Linked DNA regions of Cricetulus griseus. The protein of the gene in region 2 interacts with the protein of the main gene of each other region in a biochemical or structural test. Links are inferred from orthologs where the notes say so. Each region holds a gene or a part of one and is shown on either strand. Other genes may lie near its edges.

Region 1 (5,518 bases), on a different chromosome or scaffold from region 2:
TTAGAGCAGTAAGGTTCTCTAGTCCTGATTCCATTTAATTGGAGACTGTGATGCAATTTGTCCAAGGTCATGCATCTTGAAGAGTAGAGAATCTTGCCTTCTAGGGCAAGATCTTGTCTTGCACCGCAGATTCTTACTCAGAAAGACAGGAGAGGCAAAGAGAGGTAGAGTGTGTGAAGAACTATGAGGCAATAGTCATAGTCCCTGCCCACCCACCCCCCAAAGTCCTTCTCCATTCACTCTGCCTTTGGGCAATTTCCGCCAGAACCTGGGTGGGGAGGGTGGAGTTCCGGTGTTGAAATGGCATCCTGGACAGACATAAACACCCCACCCATTCTACCCATTGGTCAAAGGACTGTGCCTATACCAACTCCCATGTCTGGGGATGGCATTATAGCAAGAGGGTGGAGGCAGGGCCTCAGGCAGATCACCTGTGAAAAGGACACTTGGTAGTGACTATACATTTTGTGGTAGGTACAAGAGGGGATTCCATAATGAATAGCAGGAATGGGCTCTTCTTGTGTTGGGTGATGTAAAATCATATAATACAATTTTCTTGAGTTCCTCCAGTCCCATCATCCTCTGTTCTTCTGTAAGGTTTCCTTTATTTGTATGGTGTGCACTGTAGGTGTGCTTGCATGCACATGCTATGCTATGTCTGTCCCTGAGAGATCAGGGGAACCTTGACAAGTCTACTTGGAATCTATTGTTGGACACAAAGAGAACAGATTCAGATAGAGATGGGAATCAAAGAATATGGAGGTAGGGACCCAGAGGAGATGATGAAAGCAAGGGTAAGACTTTGCAGAGAACTGTCCAAGCAGCAAGGGATTCTTCCAGTTCAAGTTGTCTAACTCCCTGACTTTACAACTGGGAGAACTGATCAGGAGCAGTGAGATGGCTTGCCCAACTACCACACTGCTGTCTTGGGGCAGAACTGAAGTTATAGCCCAGATTAAAAGAAGAGGAACCTTGGGAACCAAAGGGGGCCTAGAAAGCAGCAAGGGATATGATCAGGTTCCAACCTGTCACCTACCAGCTTGGGCTTCAGTATCTGCCTTCTATCCCTTACAAGGTCTTTATGAAGCCCAGCACAATTTTTGACTTACTTGCTAAGTCTTTGCTGTATGTTGACCTTGGAAGAGAAAGGAGTCATGGTCATGTGGGGTGGGGCATGGCCAAATGACCTGGTTGGGATACAGGGTAGAGGTCCAGTGTCTCCTGGAGCCCATTCCTCCTCTGCCTCTGCTGCCTGCAGCTGATAAGCCTCTTATCTGGCTCAGGCAGAGTAGCCCAGAGTAAGGATGGGAGTAGAGGGCAGGGCTGCTATCACCAGCAGGCCTGGGCCCTATCTAAGACAAGGGGAGGGGCTGTCTGCCTGCACTTTCCACAACACACTGCTTGGGGATCCCCGAGCAGAGCATTCACTCACATCTTGGGAAGAAAGGAAAGAACTGAAATGCTAGGCGTGGTGGCGCACACCTCTAATTCCAACACTCTGGAGGCAGAGGCAGGCAGGTCTCTGTGATTTAGAGGCCAGCCTGGTCTCCAGAGCTAGTTCCAGGACAGCCAGGGCTACATAGTAAGATCCTGTTTCAAACAACAAAACTGAGGACCCAAGAGGAAGGCATGGGTGACTCTTGATGTTTTCTCCCAGAATGGAAAACAAAACCTCAACCATAAAACCTCAGAAGACTGAATTTTGCCTCTGGACAGGAATACCATTTTTAGGGAGTAAGAGAAGATATCTTGTCTGAGAAAAAGTAAAGATACCTACTGTGTGCCCAGAGGAGTGACTATGGCCAGAGCAGGTGAGGTAGAGAGTATGCCACAGAAAAGAACTTTACAGTTCATAGGATGTTGGTGGTCCTGGCATGAGTGAACCACTGGCATTGCTCCTTTCTTCTGGGGATTCTGCACAGGGATGGGACAAACTTTCAATCTGACAGCAGCAGCTCTAACCCTTCCTTCCGTCCACACAGGTTGCTGGAGCCCTCTGAGCTTTGGAGGAACTAGGGCCAGAAGCTGGCACAGTAGGATGCCCCCGTGTCCTCCTCAGCAGAACAGGGACAGGTTGTCACAGCTGCCTGTTGGGGAGCTGGGCGAGATGGAATTGACTTGGCAAGAGATCATGTCCATTACTGAGCTGCAGGTGAGTATGGGGTGGGCACTGCAGAGGTAGGGGCTCTGGCCTGGTCAGAAACAGAGTTTGTGTGTGGGTGTGGGTGTGGGGGCGGCAATGAGGAACACGGAGGAGAGGGGGAAGGGAAGGATTTGGTTGGGGATGTGGGCTCCTGCCCAGCTGCTCTGCTCACATTTCTACAACCCTCTTCTCTGCCCCTCTCTTTATTTCCTTCTCATCTGATCAGCCTCTCTTCCAGCACTGCCTGTCTTCCCTCATTGCCACCCCTCACCCTTAGCAACCAGCTCCTTACTCCAGGTAGCAGAGCCTTAGTTAAAGGGCCTCAGAAAGGGGAGACAGACTATGCCGGGGTCCTCTCTTGAATGTTGGACAAAGGGGTGTCTGTTGGTCTAACAATGATGTCTTTGTCCTCAGCTAGGCTTGAGCAGGATAGCTCTCCTACGTAAGTTGGGGGCCTTGTTTGTAACATGTGTTCTCCTCCTCACTGCACCTGGACAGAGGGCTAACCCCCAGCCTGGCCTCTGTGCCTGCCCCCCCCCCCCCAGGCCTGGTGTCCTCAGGTTCTGCCCTAGACCCTCCTCCCACACACCAGCTCCCTCTGCTGGGCACCCAGCGAATGGCGAGACCTTGAACTTGACCCTTTGACCCTACCTAACCATAGCAGGAAAAGGATTCTGAGGGTCCATCTTGGGTAATAATGGCCTTGTCTTCCTAAAGAGAGTGAAGGAACAGGAGCTATTTGGCCCAGTAAGAGTTTCTCCTTAGAAGGAGACTCTGAACCCATTTCAGTGCAAAGTTATCTTCTCTGAGGTCTCACAGTGACTTTTATTCCTACTAAATTGCTCTTCAGCTGGGCGTTGGTGGCGCTCGCCTTTGATCCCAGCACTCGGGAGACAGAGGCAGGCAGATCTCTGTGAGTTCAAGGCCAGCCTGGTCTACAGAGCAAGTGCCAGGATAGGCCCCAAAGCAATACAGACAAACCCTGTCTCAAAAAACAAACAAAACAAAAACAAACTGCTTTTCTTCCTCTCTCTTTTTTTTTTTTCTTTTTGTTTTTGGAGACAGGGTTTCTCTGTGTAGCACTGGCTGTCCTGGAACTCACTCTGTAGACCAGGCTGGCCTCGAACTCAGAGATTTAGCAGCTTCTGCCTCCCCAGTGCTAAGATGAATGATGTGTGCCACCATGCCCAGATTCTGGCTAGGTAGCCCTGGAGTTTGCTATGTATACCAGGATGGTCTTGAACTCAAGAGAGATACACCTGCCCCTTGAATGCTTGGATTAAAGGCCTCTTGATTTTTTTTTTTTTTAAATCTCATGTACATTCCTGTTCTTCCTGCATGTATGTCTGTGTGAAGGTGTTGGATCCCCTGGAACTGGAGTTAGTTATGAGCTGCCATATGGGTACTGAGAATTGAACTTGGGTCCTCTGGAAGAGCAGTTCTTAACTGCTGAGCCAATTCTCCAGCCCCTTTCTTGATTTTTGAAACAGGGTCTCACACAGCCCACACTGGCCTTGTACTTTTTATGTAGCCAAGACTGTCATTAAACTCATGACCCTCCTGTTTCTACATCTCAAATGCTATTATAAGCCTATGCCACCATGCTGCTTTCTTTCCTTTTTTTTTTTTTTAATAACTTATATTTTATTTGCATTGGTGTTTTGCCTGGATGTATGTCCATGTGAGGGTGTCAGATCTTGGATTTACAGACAGTTGTGAGCTGCCATGTGGTTGCTGGGAATTGAACTTGGGTCCTTTGGAAGAGCAGTCAGTGCCTGCCTCTGCCTCCTGAGTGCTGGGATTTAAAGGCGTTAGCCACCAACGCCTGGCTAACAAGTTTGTTTTTTTTTCTGGAGTAGGGTTTCTCTGTGGTTTTGGAGGCTGTCCTGGAACTATCTCTTGTAGATCAGGCTGGTCTTGAACTCAGAGATCTGCCTGCCTCTGCCTTCCAAATTCTGGGATTAAAGGTTTGAGACACCACCGCCCAGCTTCCTAACTAGCTCTTATAATTTAAATTAACCCATTTATTAAGTATTAATCTATGCTCTATCACATGGAGATCACAGTCTATCTTCTAACCTTTGTCATGTCTTTCTTTGCAGGGTCTAAATGTTCCAAGTGAGCCATCCTTTGAGCCCCAAGCACCCACCCCATATGCTGGACCACTGCCACCTCCAACATACTGCCCCTGTTCAGTTCACCCAGATGCAGGCTTTTCCCTGCCCCTACCACCTTATGAGCTGCCAGCAGCATCTACTCCCCATGTCCCAGACCTCCCATACTCCTATGGCAACATGGCTATACCAGTGTCAAAGCCACTCACCCTTTCAGGCCTGCTCAATGAGCCCCTCCCGGACCCCTTAGCTCTCCTGGACATTGGGCTACCAGTGGGGGCACCCAAGCCCCAAGAAGACCCAGAATCCGACTCAGGATTATCCCTCAACTACAGTGATGCAGAATCTCTTGAGCTAGAGGGTGCAGAGGCTGGCAGGCGGAGGAGCGAGTATGTGGACATGTACCCGGTGGAGTACCCTTACTCCCATATGCCCAACTCCTTGGCCCACCCTAACTATACTTTGCCACCCACTGAGAACCCCTTGGGCTTAGAGTCATCCTCTGGCCCTGTGCGGGCTAAGCCTGCTGTTAGGGGAGAGGCGGGGAGTCGGGATGAGCGGCGCGCCATGGCCATGAAGATTCCTTTCCCTACGGACAAGATTGTCAACTTGCCTGTAGATGACTTTAATGAGCTGTTGGCGCAGTACCCGCTAACAGAGAGCCAGTTGGCTCTAGTTCGGGACATCCGACGGCGGGGCAAGAACAAGGTGGCAGCCCAGAATTGTCGCAAGAGAAAACTGGAAACCATTGTGCAGCTAGAGAGGGAGCTGGAGCGGCTGGGTAGTGAAAGAGAGCGGCTTCTCAGAGCCCGAGGCGAAGCCGACCGCACTCTGGAGGTCATGCGCCAACAGTTGGCAGAGTTGTACCATGACATTTTCCAACATCTTCGGGATGAATCTGGCAACAGTTATTCACCGGAGGAATATGTACTGCAACAGGCTGCTGATGGGGCCATCTTTCTGGTGCCCCGTGGGACCAAGATGGAGACCACCGATTGAGCTGGCTTAGAGGAGACTGACAATGGTGCTAGGGCCGCCCCCACATTCCCTTCTGATAAAGGTACTCCCCAGCCCCAGGACCCATAAGGCACTGCATTCTTCAGACCCAGAGGGCAGATGCAACCTTAGCATTTGGATGTCCCAAGGTATGTTCAGTGAGGTTAGCCTAGAGGCCAGGGAGTGCTGGCTTCTCAGGCCCCAAATCTCCACCTCTTCTCTAAGCTTTGGTTCATAAAGAGCTGTGTGGAAATAAGCTTTCCAT
Region 2 (5,327 bases):
GCTGCTGAGCTTAAGCCAGCCGAGGCTGCAGAGTGAGACCCTGTCTTACAACTACAACAAAAAAACAAAGGAAAGGAGGATGAAGACAACAGAAACCCTGAGGGCATAGGGAGTAAGTCTACATTCACACAAGCCACACTGTACCCTGAGACTCTAGCTACACCCAGCGAGAGATAAAGACCCCACCCACACACACACTCCCCTAAGAAATACAATGTTAAGAACTACTTTTGGCCCTACAGGACAGGCAGTGACAATAAACTGAGGTGTGAGATCCCCAAACAAATTCCTGGAGGCTGGCGGAACGGACTGGAGGATCCTGGCTTAGCCTGTGCCACACGTCCATCCGCTACCCAGTGGCACTGAACAGGAAGAACACACACAAACCCATCCCCAGCCCGCTTTCCACCTGAGAAGGGAGGGCCACGTAGAAAGACCTGAAACTCTCCCGCTTTTTCACTTTTTATTAGACGCTGCACCGCAACGGGATCGGGACCATCAGCGCGCACCGCGAAGCCCCAGTGCCAGTCGGGCGTTTGGGGGCGCGGGCCGGGGTGTGGGCTGGGCCTTCCCAGCTCTCTGACCCACTCGGGAACGAGGGGGCATCGCAACAGGATGCGGTAAGAAGCTCCGCAACCGTGTCACATCATCAGCACGGCGGGCGGGGGCCCCGCGTGGCGCGGCGACTCCGGGAGGCAGAGGCGGGGGCATCGCCCGGAACCCCAAGCCAGGGTGCGCTCGCTGTCCCGAGAAAACCCCGCGTGCCGGTGGACGCGGCAACACGGGCAAACCTGCCCTCCGACCTCGGCCCGAGCAGGCGAGGAGACCCGGGGGGAACCGGAGCCACCGGTGTCCGCGCCGCGGAGAGCTCGGCACGCGGAGGGCGCCGCGCGAGTCCCGCGAGACGTCCGCTGGGCGCGGCGGGTTGCCGGGACGACGGCGCCGGGCTGCGCAGGCGTGCTGGGGCGCGCTCGCCTCGCCGTCGCCGCGCCTTTCCCTTTAAGCTCGGGCCGGCCGCGTCGCCGCTTCATGAATGGAGCCCACGTGACCAAACATCATGTGACGTCTGAGGAGCGGCGGCGGCGGCGGCGGCGGCGGCGGCGGTGGCGGATTCTGACCCGGTCCGGCCCGGCCTTCCCAGCGCGCTCGGCCCGGCCCGCGCGAGCGCCCAGTCGCCCCAAGCCCGCGGCCCGGACCCTTCGCGCCCGCCCCAGCCCCGCGCAGCCTCGGAGCGCGCGCGGCCCCGCCCCAGCCCCGCCTCGGCCCGCCGGGGCCCGCAGTGTGGTGAGTGCGGGGGCTGGGGCGGGCGGGCGAGCGGCGGGCGGGCGGCGGGGCGGGGCCTGGCCTCGGGGCTGCGGCGCACCGTGCGACGGCGGCGCGGGCCCCGGTTTCTGCGCCAGGCGGTCGGAAGCCGGCGGCTCGCCGGTGCCACCCCCGGGCTGTGGGCCGGGCGAGGCGAGGCTGGGAGCGCCGGGCGTGCGCGCGACGGACCCCCGGGCGCCCCGCGGGGGGCGCGATTAAAGGGCGAGGTCGGCGCGTCTGCCCGGGTCAGCGGGGCGGCCGCACCGAGCTGCTGACTCATCAGGTGTCTGTCGGCTTCCGCGCGGGCGGGGCCGGGCGGGCAGGGGCAGGGGCGGCGGCGGCGGCGGGGAGACCCCGCTGAGCGGCTTGGGCTCGCCACGCGCGTGCGAGCCCAGCGGAGACGTGCTGAGTCATCAGCATGAGGTCACTCGGTGCTCCTGCTGACGCGGGCCCGGGGCGGGGGGCCCAGGCCGGCTCTCGGGCAGTCCGAGCGGGCGGCAGGGCTCGATCCGGGCGGCGAAGGTCGGGCCAGGAGCCGGGGGTCGTGTTTAAGTTTATCGGACCTGTGAGTTGGAGGCAAAGGCCTCGAGGGACGCATCACCGGGGTGCGCCGCGGGTTCCTCGCGGGGTGGAAGGTAGAGCCCCGGGCTTACGCATCCCCCTAGGCTCTGGGGCTCCTGGTCCAGCTCCCCAAACTGGGAGACCGATCGGAGTACGCTGAGGGGAGGAGCCTAGGTGGGCCGAGCCCGCTTGTCTGGGAAGGAGGCTTTCCTTCTGAGTGACCCTGGCTGGCCGGGCGGCGTCGGCCTTGCACCGAAAAGACCGGGAGTCAGGACAGAAGGGTTGTGTGGCTTGAGGAAGCCGGGGCAGCTCTGCCAGCTAATGGGAGGGAAGCGTGGATGGTACCCGGTGGAAGTTTTGAGGTGCGAGCATGGAGTGGAGAACGTAGTTCTTTCTCATTTACCTCTCCTTTATCCCTGTCAGAAGAGTTTGGGGTCCCACTGTCGCCCGAAGTTAGCAAAAAGTGTGTGTGCCCTGTTGGGAGGCTGACCTGATGACAGCCTGTGTGGGGTGTGGCCCCCACCTTTGCATGGCTGCGTGGATGTTTACTGATTTCTCTTGCTGTGAAGGGTCCCGAGCTCTATTCCGCATTGCTTTCCTTGCCCGGGGTTTCATGGCTAGCTTAAGCTGACCTTGGGGTTAGGCTTAGAGACTTCCCATCCGCACTTACTACACTGAGCCCTGAGAATGCTCGTAGGTGCCAGGTGTTTCGTTTAGGGTGGAACTTTGTGCCCTATGAAAATTCAAGATCCCAGAGAGGTGTTTAAACTTTGGAGTCACTATGCTTCTGTGACATTTAAGTTGTTTTCAAATACTGTCAGTATCTGGGGTAGGGGAGACCTGAGTTTGGGCCTCGTGCACTGGAGTTTGCCCGAAAGGTTGAGGAAGGGCCACTGTCTTGCTTGAGACTAGTGTCCAGATGTCTGCTCTGAGAGTATTTGGAGGAGAGCAGAGCTGGGGGGCAAGCTGGCCTTGAGCAGCTTCTCTGAGCAGCTTCCTCAGGCTCTGAACTATACCTCAGGACAGCTGTCCCCCAAAGCTGTCTGCCTTGTCACCGTGTGACCCTAGGTTGGCAGGAGCTAGGCAGGCAGCTGGAAACACTAGCTTTGCTGAGACCTGCTCTCCCTCCCCGCTTAAGCATGCACAAGCACGGGCGAGCACACACACACACCTTTCACACACACACACACACACACCTTACACACACACACACACCTTACACACACACACACCTTTCACACACACACCTTACACACACACACACCTTACACACACACACCTTACACACACACACACCTTACACACACACACCTTACACACACACACACACCTTACACACACACCTTTCACACACACACACCTTACACACACACACACCTTACACACACACACACCTTACACACACACCTTTCACACACACACACACCTTTCACACACACCTTTCACACACACACACCTTTCACACACACACCTTTCACACACACACACACACCTTTCACACTCACACACACACACACACACACCTTACACACACACACACACACACACACACCTTTGACCAGGAGGCAGTTGGCTGCACTTGTGCTGATCAGGCCTTCAGCAGAGGGGAAAATCTGTTGAGGAGGCACTTTTCAGCTCCCAGCTACCACACACTGCACTTCCCTGTGCAATCGCGGGAAGTCTGCAGTCTGTGTGAAAAAAGCTCCTGCTAGGGCTGCCTCTCTCACCTTTTCTTGTGCTCCTGGTGTGAGCCGGGGGCCACCTTCTAAGAAAGGCAGCTCCTCTTCAGACCCCTAGCCCTGACTTCTTTCTCTTTGATCTAACGGGACTCTTGCCTCTGAAAATGCTCTTAATCTGGCCCTGGAGAAGTGTCTCCAGCTTCTGTGCTTAGCACGTCCTGTGCAAGACTGAGAGTAGTAGGGTCTTTGCTCAGATGAGAACAGGAGCCTCTACCTCCCTGGCTCACACTTTAGTTCTTTTGATAAGTGTTAAGAAGCACCCCCCCACTCCCCACCCCCACTCCTCACCCCCACCCCCCACCCCCACCCCCCACCCCCCACCCCGACACATTGTTGCCTAAAGTGCTTACAGCCTTCAGCCTCCCCTGGAAGACACTGCAACAACCTCTCCTGCAGTTCCTTCCATTTCCCTGCATCTGTAGCCATGGTGCTGGGCTAAGTGGGGGATTCCCAGCCTGGGTATACAAAAATGTTCTTGGCAAGGCTTTAGAAATCAGAAATTTTAAAAAGTGCCAGAGGGTAGCTGACCGTAGAAGGTAGCTGTTGTGCTTTTGTTCCCTGGCCCTGTGGTCACTGACCCTAGGCAGAGAGCCAGAGACTAGCCAGTGACCCAAAAGGGGCTGGCTCTTGCCTGTTACCAGCTAACAGTGCCCTCCCTCTGTTAATTGTGGGGGCCCTTGTGAAACACCCAGTATCGGGTGGGGCAGGAGCACAGGATGCCGCAACCAAGCCACAGGATGGTTACTCCATCTGTTAAGGAGGTGGACAGGGAGGACTGGAGGGGCCTGGGCTCAGCTCCTCCCAGCTGGATTGCCTGCTACCTGGAAGGTGAGAGGATTCCCAGTCAGCACAGTTAGAGCAAACCTGGTTGGTCCTCTGCCAAAATGAGGCAGGAAGCAGCCTCCTAAGTCCTAGAGGGAGAAAGGGCTTTCTTTTGTCCTGGGCAAGCTTAGGGACAAATACATGGAAAGTAGGACCCTGCAGTACAGGGTCCTTGACTGACCCTTGCCTGCCGTTGGTCCCAGTAGTGGGTCTCCTGGGGAACTGTTGGCTGGCCTTAGGAATGGGAGAGCGGCTCAGGAAGAGAGGGAGGCGATGTGCTGAGTCAGCGTGACTCGCCAGGAACAGTGTGCTCTGGGGCAGTGCTGGGGTTATTTTTAAAGCTCAGCTTCCTTCTAGGCTTGCCCCTCCTGCAGCCCAGACCTTCTAATCTCTCTCTGCTCCCTTTGTCTTCTGCCTTCACACAGCTGGCTCTTCCCTGGGTAAAGCCTCCCCATCTCCCACCTGTCTTTCTAGGGAAAGGGCCTTCTGAAGCAGCCCAGCTCAGGTCAGGTGAGGGCAAGGTTCAGTGGGCTGAGCACCGGACAGCAAGCTTCCTGTTGGGGTGTAAAGGGGGTCTACAGGGTCCTGACCTGTGCTCTGTGTCTTGCAGAGTGCCTGCTCATTGTGCCCCCGGGTTATGACGACCCCCAATAAAGGAAACAAGGCCTTGAAGGTGAGTGGGGAACCTGGGCTCGGGGTGTGATGGGGTGGGCCTTCCTGCTCTGCCGTGACCCCGTGACCCTGTGAATTCTCCTCCAGGTGAAGCGGGAGCCGGGTGAGAATGGCACCAGCCTGACTGATGAGGAGCTGGTGACCATGTCGGTTCGAGAGCTGAACCAGCACCTGAGAGGCCTGTCCAAGGAAGAGATCATCCAGCTGAAGCAGCGCCGGCGCACACTTAAG
Region 3 (5,569 bases), about 23 Mb from region 2:
TCTGGTTGTTTTTGTTTTTAGATAGGCTGTTGCTATGTAGCCCTCATTGGCATGAATGAAACTCATCATGTAAACCAAGCTGATTTCAAACTTGCAGGGATCCCTCTGCTTTCTGAGTGCTAGGATGACAAGCCTGTGCCCCTAGCCCCGTTAGGAATGCACTCTAGTTGAAATTGATGGAATGTACCCAAAATACATCACTTGAGGGGCTGAACACAGGAGGCTTGCCCTAAATTCCAGGACAGTCTGGGACCTTGGAACGAGAACCTGTCTCTAAAAATAAGGCAAAACAAACCACTGTATTGTCAGAATGCTTCTATTTTAGCGGGATCTTTGAATTACAGGCTCAACCTGCTTGGTTTCCTTTCCCCTTGTAACTATCTTTTTGTTTATCAAAGCAGTTTGAACCCAGTGCCTCTTGGATGCTAGGCAAGTACTCTAGTTACAAACTCTATCACCAAGTATCCTGGTACTCCTCTTTTTTTGAAATAGAGTCTGTATGTAGCCTTGGATGTTCTGGAATTGTCTATGTAGACCAGGCTGTTCTTGAAGTCACAGAGATCTGCCTGCCTCTGCCTCCCAAGAGTACTGGGAGCCCTGGCTGCCCTGTTGTTTTGGAGACCCAACAGTTAATATTCAAATTTCTTGTGTCATAGGGTTTATATTGTAGTTTTTACTGGGACACATTAAAATGATGACTAAGTAAAGCAGTCTTTGAAAGTGTAAACTAGCTCAAAATAACTTAATTTAAAAAGGTATATAGTAGTTTAGTAACTTGCAAGGATCAGAAGGGAAGATGCTGGTGCGTATTTATACCAGTTAAAGTGCTTAACACTCTGTGAATCTCTCCAAATATTCGCGCAGCAGGAATCGATCTGATGTGTTATCTGCTGGCCTTGTCCTTAATTACACAAGGACAATAAACAATGAACTGTCAACTAGATCATGGCCCCTTAAAAGGAGACAAGAACTCTGTTGGCACCTCACCTCTGTCCCACAGCTGGGAACACAGTACAAATTCCAATTCAATGATTTCCTAAATGTGGTCTTCGACCTGCTGCATTAGAATTACTCAAGAGGGCATGCTATCAGGCCCTACCCCATGGCTACTGAACAAGAATCTCTCACAGGCTTTGCAATTTGGAATCTAACAAACGTCGAGAGCATACCAAATTTGAGAGTCACAAAAAAAAAAAAATGGCTTGGTTGTATTGGTGTATGGGATTGGAGTACTCCGGCAACCAAGGAGCGTTCCTGAAAAGCAAAAACTAAGCTGTTTACGAGTGGTTAGAGGAGGGGGAGGGGCTTCTCGGGCATTCTTTTGATGACAAAAATGGTTACTATGTTCCATCTCTCACACTACCAACATCCCACTACCGCCTTAACAATCTGTCTGCCCGGCAGTTTCCGCCATTTGACTGTTGCCTGGGCTACAAGATACCACCTTTCCTGTCCGACCCAGGTTACTACACCAGTCCCTAGGGCAAAGGTGTGTGTGTGGGTGGGGGGGGACACGACCGGTTTCCGTTGCCAGTACCCAAGATGGCTACACGAGCGTCGCCACCAGGAGAACCACATGCTCCGTTCTCCCGCCTCGGCTTCCTTAGGTCTCACTGGACTTTTGCAAGTCACCGTGGGAACCCTCAAGGACGGAATTCCGGGCTCCGGCGGCAATACTCCTCTCTCTGCCTGGAAAGACCTTATTCCTAGACAAACAATGCACCAGAAGCACCTAACTTATAACACCGTCCACCTTCGAAGCGCAGCGGAGAGGTTCGGAATGCCGGACACTAGGGCCTTCGCCCCACTCATTGGTGGGTTCACACCGCGGGGCGGGCCTGCACACTCATTGGTCTGCTCTCCACGTCAGTCTCGGGAAAAGGGGCTGAGGAGGCGGAGACAACACTTGGCTATTGGGTTCTCTTTGCCGTCAATCAAAGCGACATCCGGTGACGGTTTCGGCTTCGGCTAGCTGATTGGAGCAACTGTTTCTGGCGTGGCCGTGGAGGGCGGGCTTTCGAGTGCAGTGGAAGGAGGGGGCGGGGAGGGAAGCCGAGGCTGGGCGCTCCAGGCCGGCCGGAGGTGGCGGCGGCGGCGGTGGCGACGGCGGCGGCGGCGAGGCCGGGACTCGGGCTGAGGGCCTGCTGTGGCGACAGCGGTGGACTGCGACCTCAGCAGTGGGTACCTGACACATTCCCTTCCCTGACGAGAGAGCCGCGGCGCAACAGGGTCGAAGCTTGTGGGATGAGGGGCGGCGAGATGGGGTTGAGGGGCGGGAGGCAGGACGCGCGAGGCCAGGCGGGGTCCTAGTCCGACTCGGGCTCTGGACTTGGCCGGAGGGGAAAGCGGGGTGCAAACAAAGCTTGTTCCTGGGTGGGCTGGACCGCGAAGGGCCGAGGGCATGGGAGGGCGTGGTGAGGCCGGACTGGAGAGTGGGGTGGGGCCTCGGGCACGGAGGGCGGGGTGAGGCTCGCATTTAAGGGTGGGTCAGGGCCAGGGAAGTAGCACTTGTGGCTTGGTGTCCCAGAAAGCTAGAAGCCGGGGCGTCGACCGTGGGCATGGCAGCCTGGTCCCCAGCAGACTCGGGTATGGAGCAGGGTGGGACCGGACTCGCGCCCGGGTGCTCTCTGGCCTTCTTGGCTTTGAAGAACTTTGTCCGCTCTCTCAAACTTAATTGGCACTTGGGAAGTTTTAGTAGTAAATTGCGCGAGGGCGGGCGAGGATCAAAAGCAGAAATGTTTACTCAACCGAATGAGGGTATTCCGTGGGTGTGTGTGCCTCGTACGTGTAGGTCCCATTTCACCTTTAGAGTGAAGTTGATAGTGGGTTTCAACCCAGGAGTTGGTTTATCGGACTAATGAAAGCTCAAAAGTAGAAACCAGAAACGGAAAGGCAAATTTACCTTCTCCCCACTTGGCAACTTAGATTGAGAACTTAGCTATATCCTTCTGCTTTGGCTCAGAAGGTCATGCGAATAAAGATAAAACCTGTGAATTCAGATTTCCAGTGGAGCAGGGCCCACCCTCCTCCACTGCTCTCCTGTACCTTTCCCCTCCTTTCTTTCATTTTGCCTTACTAGAGATTGCAACAGGGCCTCTTAATTAGGCACCAATGGTCTGTATCCTTGCCCTTTAATTTTTTTCTATTGAAATGGTCTCATTATTTTGTCTAGGTTGGTCTTATACTCCTAATCATCATGTTTCAGCTTTCTTTTTTTATTTTTATTTTTTTAACGTAAAAATGACAGGAAAGGGAGATTAGATTTCAAAGTTGGAAAAACAAAAAAGTATCTTTCTATGTGTGAAATGAGGGCCCATCTACTTTTCACACGTCTCACTCTTTTGAGTTGGAAGGGACAATGACATGGGAAACCAACTTTTTTTTTTTTTTTTTTTTTTTTTTTTTTTTTTTAGATAGGAAATGGGCTTCTTGTGCTAAAATTAGAAACCGGGTAATGTGTTCTATTAGCAGTGTTGGTAAATTAGACAAAGTGTAAGGTATTTTGAATGTCATGTTCAGTGTCTGCTTCTTTGAAAACTACTTTTTTAAAAAAATATAACAAATGCAGTATTTGGTAACTGTGTTTCCTTCTTTTTGTAGTTGGTACAACAGGTTTGGTTCTGTTTTTTCTTGTAAAAGTAGCCTTTTAATTTGTTTCCTACCTCCTCCCTGAAGGTTCTTACCCTGATCATGATGTAAAGGGTATGGAATCTTATCTTGTTGCTCTTGTGATTCCCATTTCAGGTTTCTCTGGAAACCCCCCTGGTAAGTGCAGAGGAGGAGGGACACTCTGACCCAAGACAAAGACCTGTAGCTCCAGCCAAAGGAAATAAACCCTAGCAAGGAGAAGGAACGAAAGAAAGAAAGAAACTATCAGCTGTCCCTGCGAACAGCCTGCAGTGGGATCTCCGTAGAGGACAGCTAATGTGAGTGAGGAAGTGACCGTATGTGGACTGTGGAGACAGTAAGTTGAGAGGGCCTTGAGGGCCTGGACTGGGTTAGTAACAGCTGAACTTTCAGAGGTGAGGTGTCAAGAAGGGAAAAGTGAATGTGGTCTGGAGTGTGGCTTTTGCTCCACAGGGTGTGCTTTCCTCTGGGGCCAATCGGGGAGATCAGCCCCTGTTTTGTGCCAGGGTGGGTTACAGGGTCTCGAACTGAGGAGGGTAACCTGCTGGCTGGAGTGGCAGAGCAGTGGCCTTGACTTGTCTTGTGGAAGATTTAAAAACAAAAAGCATAAACATTCTGGTCCTTCAGCAATGCTTTCTCTGAAGAAATACTTAACGGAAGGACTGCTCCAGTTCACCATCCTGCTGAGTCTGATTGGGGTTCGGGTGGACGTGGATACTTACCTGACCTCACAGCTCCCTCCACTCCGGGAGATCATCCTGGGGCCCAGCTCTGCCTATACTCAGACCCAGTTCCACAACCTGAGGAATACCTTGGATGGCTATGGTATCCACCCCAAGAGCATAGACCTGGACAATTACTTCACTGCCCGGCGACTCCTCAGTCAGGTGAGGGCCCTGGATAGGTTCCAGGTGCCTACCACTGAGGTAAATGCTTGGCTGGTTCACCGGGACCCAGAGGGGTCTGTCTCTGGCAGCCAGCCCAACTCAGGCCTTGCCCTTGAGAGTTCCAGTGGCCTCCAAGACGTGACAGGCCCAGACAACGGGGTGAGAGAAAGTGAAACGGAGCAGGGATTCAGTGAAGATTTGGAGGATTTGGGGGCTGTGGCCCCTCCTGCCGGTGGAGACTTAACCAAAGAGGTTAGTGGTGCTGTGGTGGTGGGTGGGCCTGGGTGTTGGCAGGAGTGGGTTGGTTCTGAGGGCTTGTTAGCTCCACTCCGAGTTCTTTAAGGAACCAAATAGATTAGGGTCAGGGGTTTGGACTGTTGGCTCTGCTTGGATAGGATTGGGCTTAATTGTCTGATTTCAGGGCTGGGAGCATGTCCATGTTTTGAACCATTGACCCACCTCTGAGTGTACTATCAGGGCAGGGTGGTTCCTAGACCATACCAGGGTTTTTAGTGCTTAGATTTCAATATGACTGCTGGAGGCTTTAGGTCGGGGAGGGCTACCTTTTGGGCTTTGATGGAGTATTTATTGTTTTGAAGACACTTACTGTCTGGCGCCTCTCTTGTCTTGTTACCACAAACACATTAAAACCTGATGCTGTACCCTAAAGTTCTCCATTGCTTTTAGGCCTGTTGTTGTCAACTCCCTTTAACTCTCCTGGGCTTGAGCCAAGAGGTAGACTTGGATAGTTATTCTTGGCCAGGAGAGGCCAAGGCTCCCATTCTCTGCTGCAGGGAGTAGAACAGAAAAGGCTGGAAGCTAGAAGAGAACTGTACTCTTCTCAGGTCAGCTTGTTCTGAGCTATTAGAGGTGACAACTTCTGGGTAGAAAAGGGTGCAGTTCCTTCCCATCAATGATGCAAATGACTACTGTGGCCCCTGTCTGACCTGGGTACTAAAACAGCTTTGAATTGCCACAAGCCCTAGGAGCTCAAAAGAGACCCACTGCTCTATGGCACTGGGCTAATTCGTGGGGAAGGTTGGCTGGCTGCAGAG

Evidence for each region.
Region 1: the proteins of Mafg (region 2) and Nfe2 form a complex in vitro, tested with the Homo sapiens proteins (2 studies listed by BioGRID and IntAct, with this or other methods). The link is inferred for Cricetulus griseus from reciprocal best matches to the Homo sapiens genes MAFG and NFE2.
Region 3: the proteins of Mafg (region 2) and Nfe2l1 form a complex in vitro, tested with the Homo sapiens proteins (2 studies listed by BioGRID and IntAct, with this or other methods). The link is inferred for Cricetulus griseus from reciprocal best matches to the Homo sapiens genes MAFG and NFE2L1.

Annotation. Positions count from the first base shown.
Region 1 is NC_048595.1:399,620,314-399,625,831, reverse strand, and holds the start of Nfe2 (transcription factor NF-E2 45 kDa subunit), read left to right. Parts: upstream 1-1,983; 5' UTR 1,984-2,038; coding exon 2,039-2,152; intron 2,153-4,245; coding exon 4,246-5,256; 3' UTR 5,257-5,518. UniProt on the Homo sapiens protein: Component of the NF-E2 complex essential for regulating erythroid and megakaryocytic maturation and differentiation. Binds to the hypersensitive site 2 (HS2) of the beta-globin control region (LCR).
Region 2 is NC_048600.1:133,124,242-133,129,568, reverse strand, and holds the start of Mafg (transcription factor MafG), read left to right. Parts: upstream 1-1,702; 5' UTR 1,703-1,720; coding exon 1,721-1,867; intron 1,868-3,938; exon of another isoform or gene 3,939-4,430; intron 4,431-4,486; exon of another isoform or gene 4,487-4,864; intron 4,865-4,886; exon of another isoform or gene 4,887-4,934; intron 4,935-5,034; coding exon 5,035-5,097; intron 5,098-5,183; coding exon 5,184-5,327. UniProt on the Homo sapiens protein: Since they lack a putative transactivation domain, the small Mafs behave as transcriptional repressors when they dimerize among themselves.
Region 3 is NC_048600.1:109,978,335-109,983,903, reverse strand, and holds the start of Nfe2l1 (endoplasmic reticulum membrane sensor NFE2L1), read left to right. Parts: upstream 1-2,025; 5' UTR 2,026-2,177; exon of another isoform or gene 2,178-2,181; intron 2,182-2,452; exon of another isoform or gene 2,453-2,586; intron 2,587-3,744; 5' UTR 3,745-3,926; exon of another isoform or gene 3,927-4,254; 5' UTR 4,255-4,256; coding exon 4,257-4,766; intron 4,767-5,569.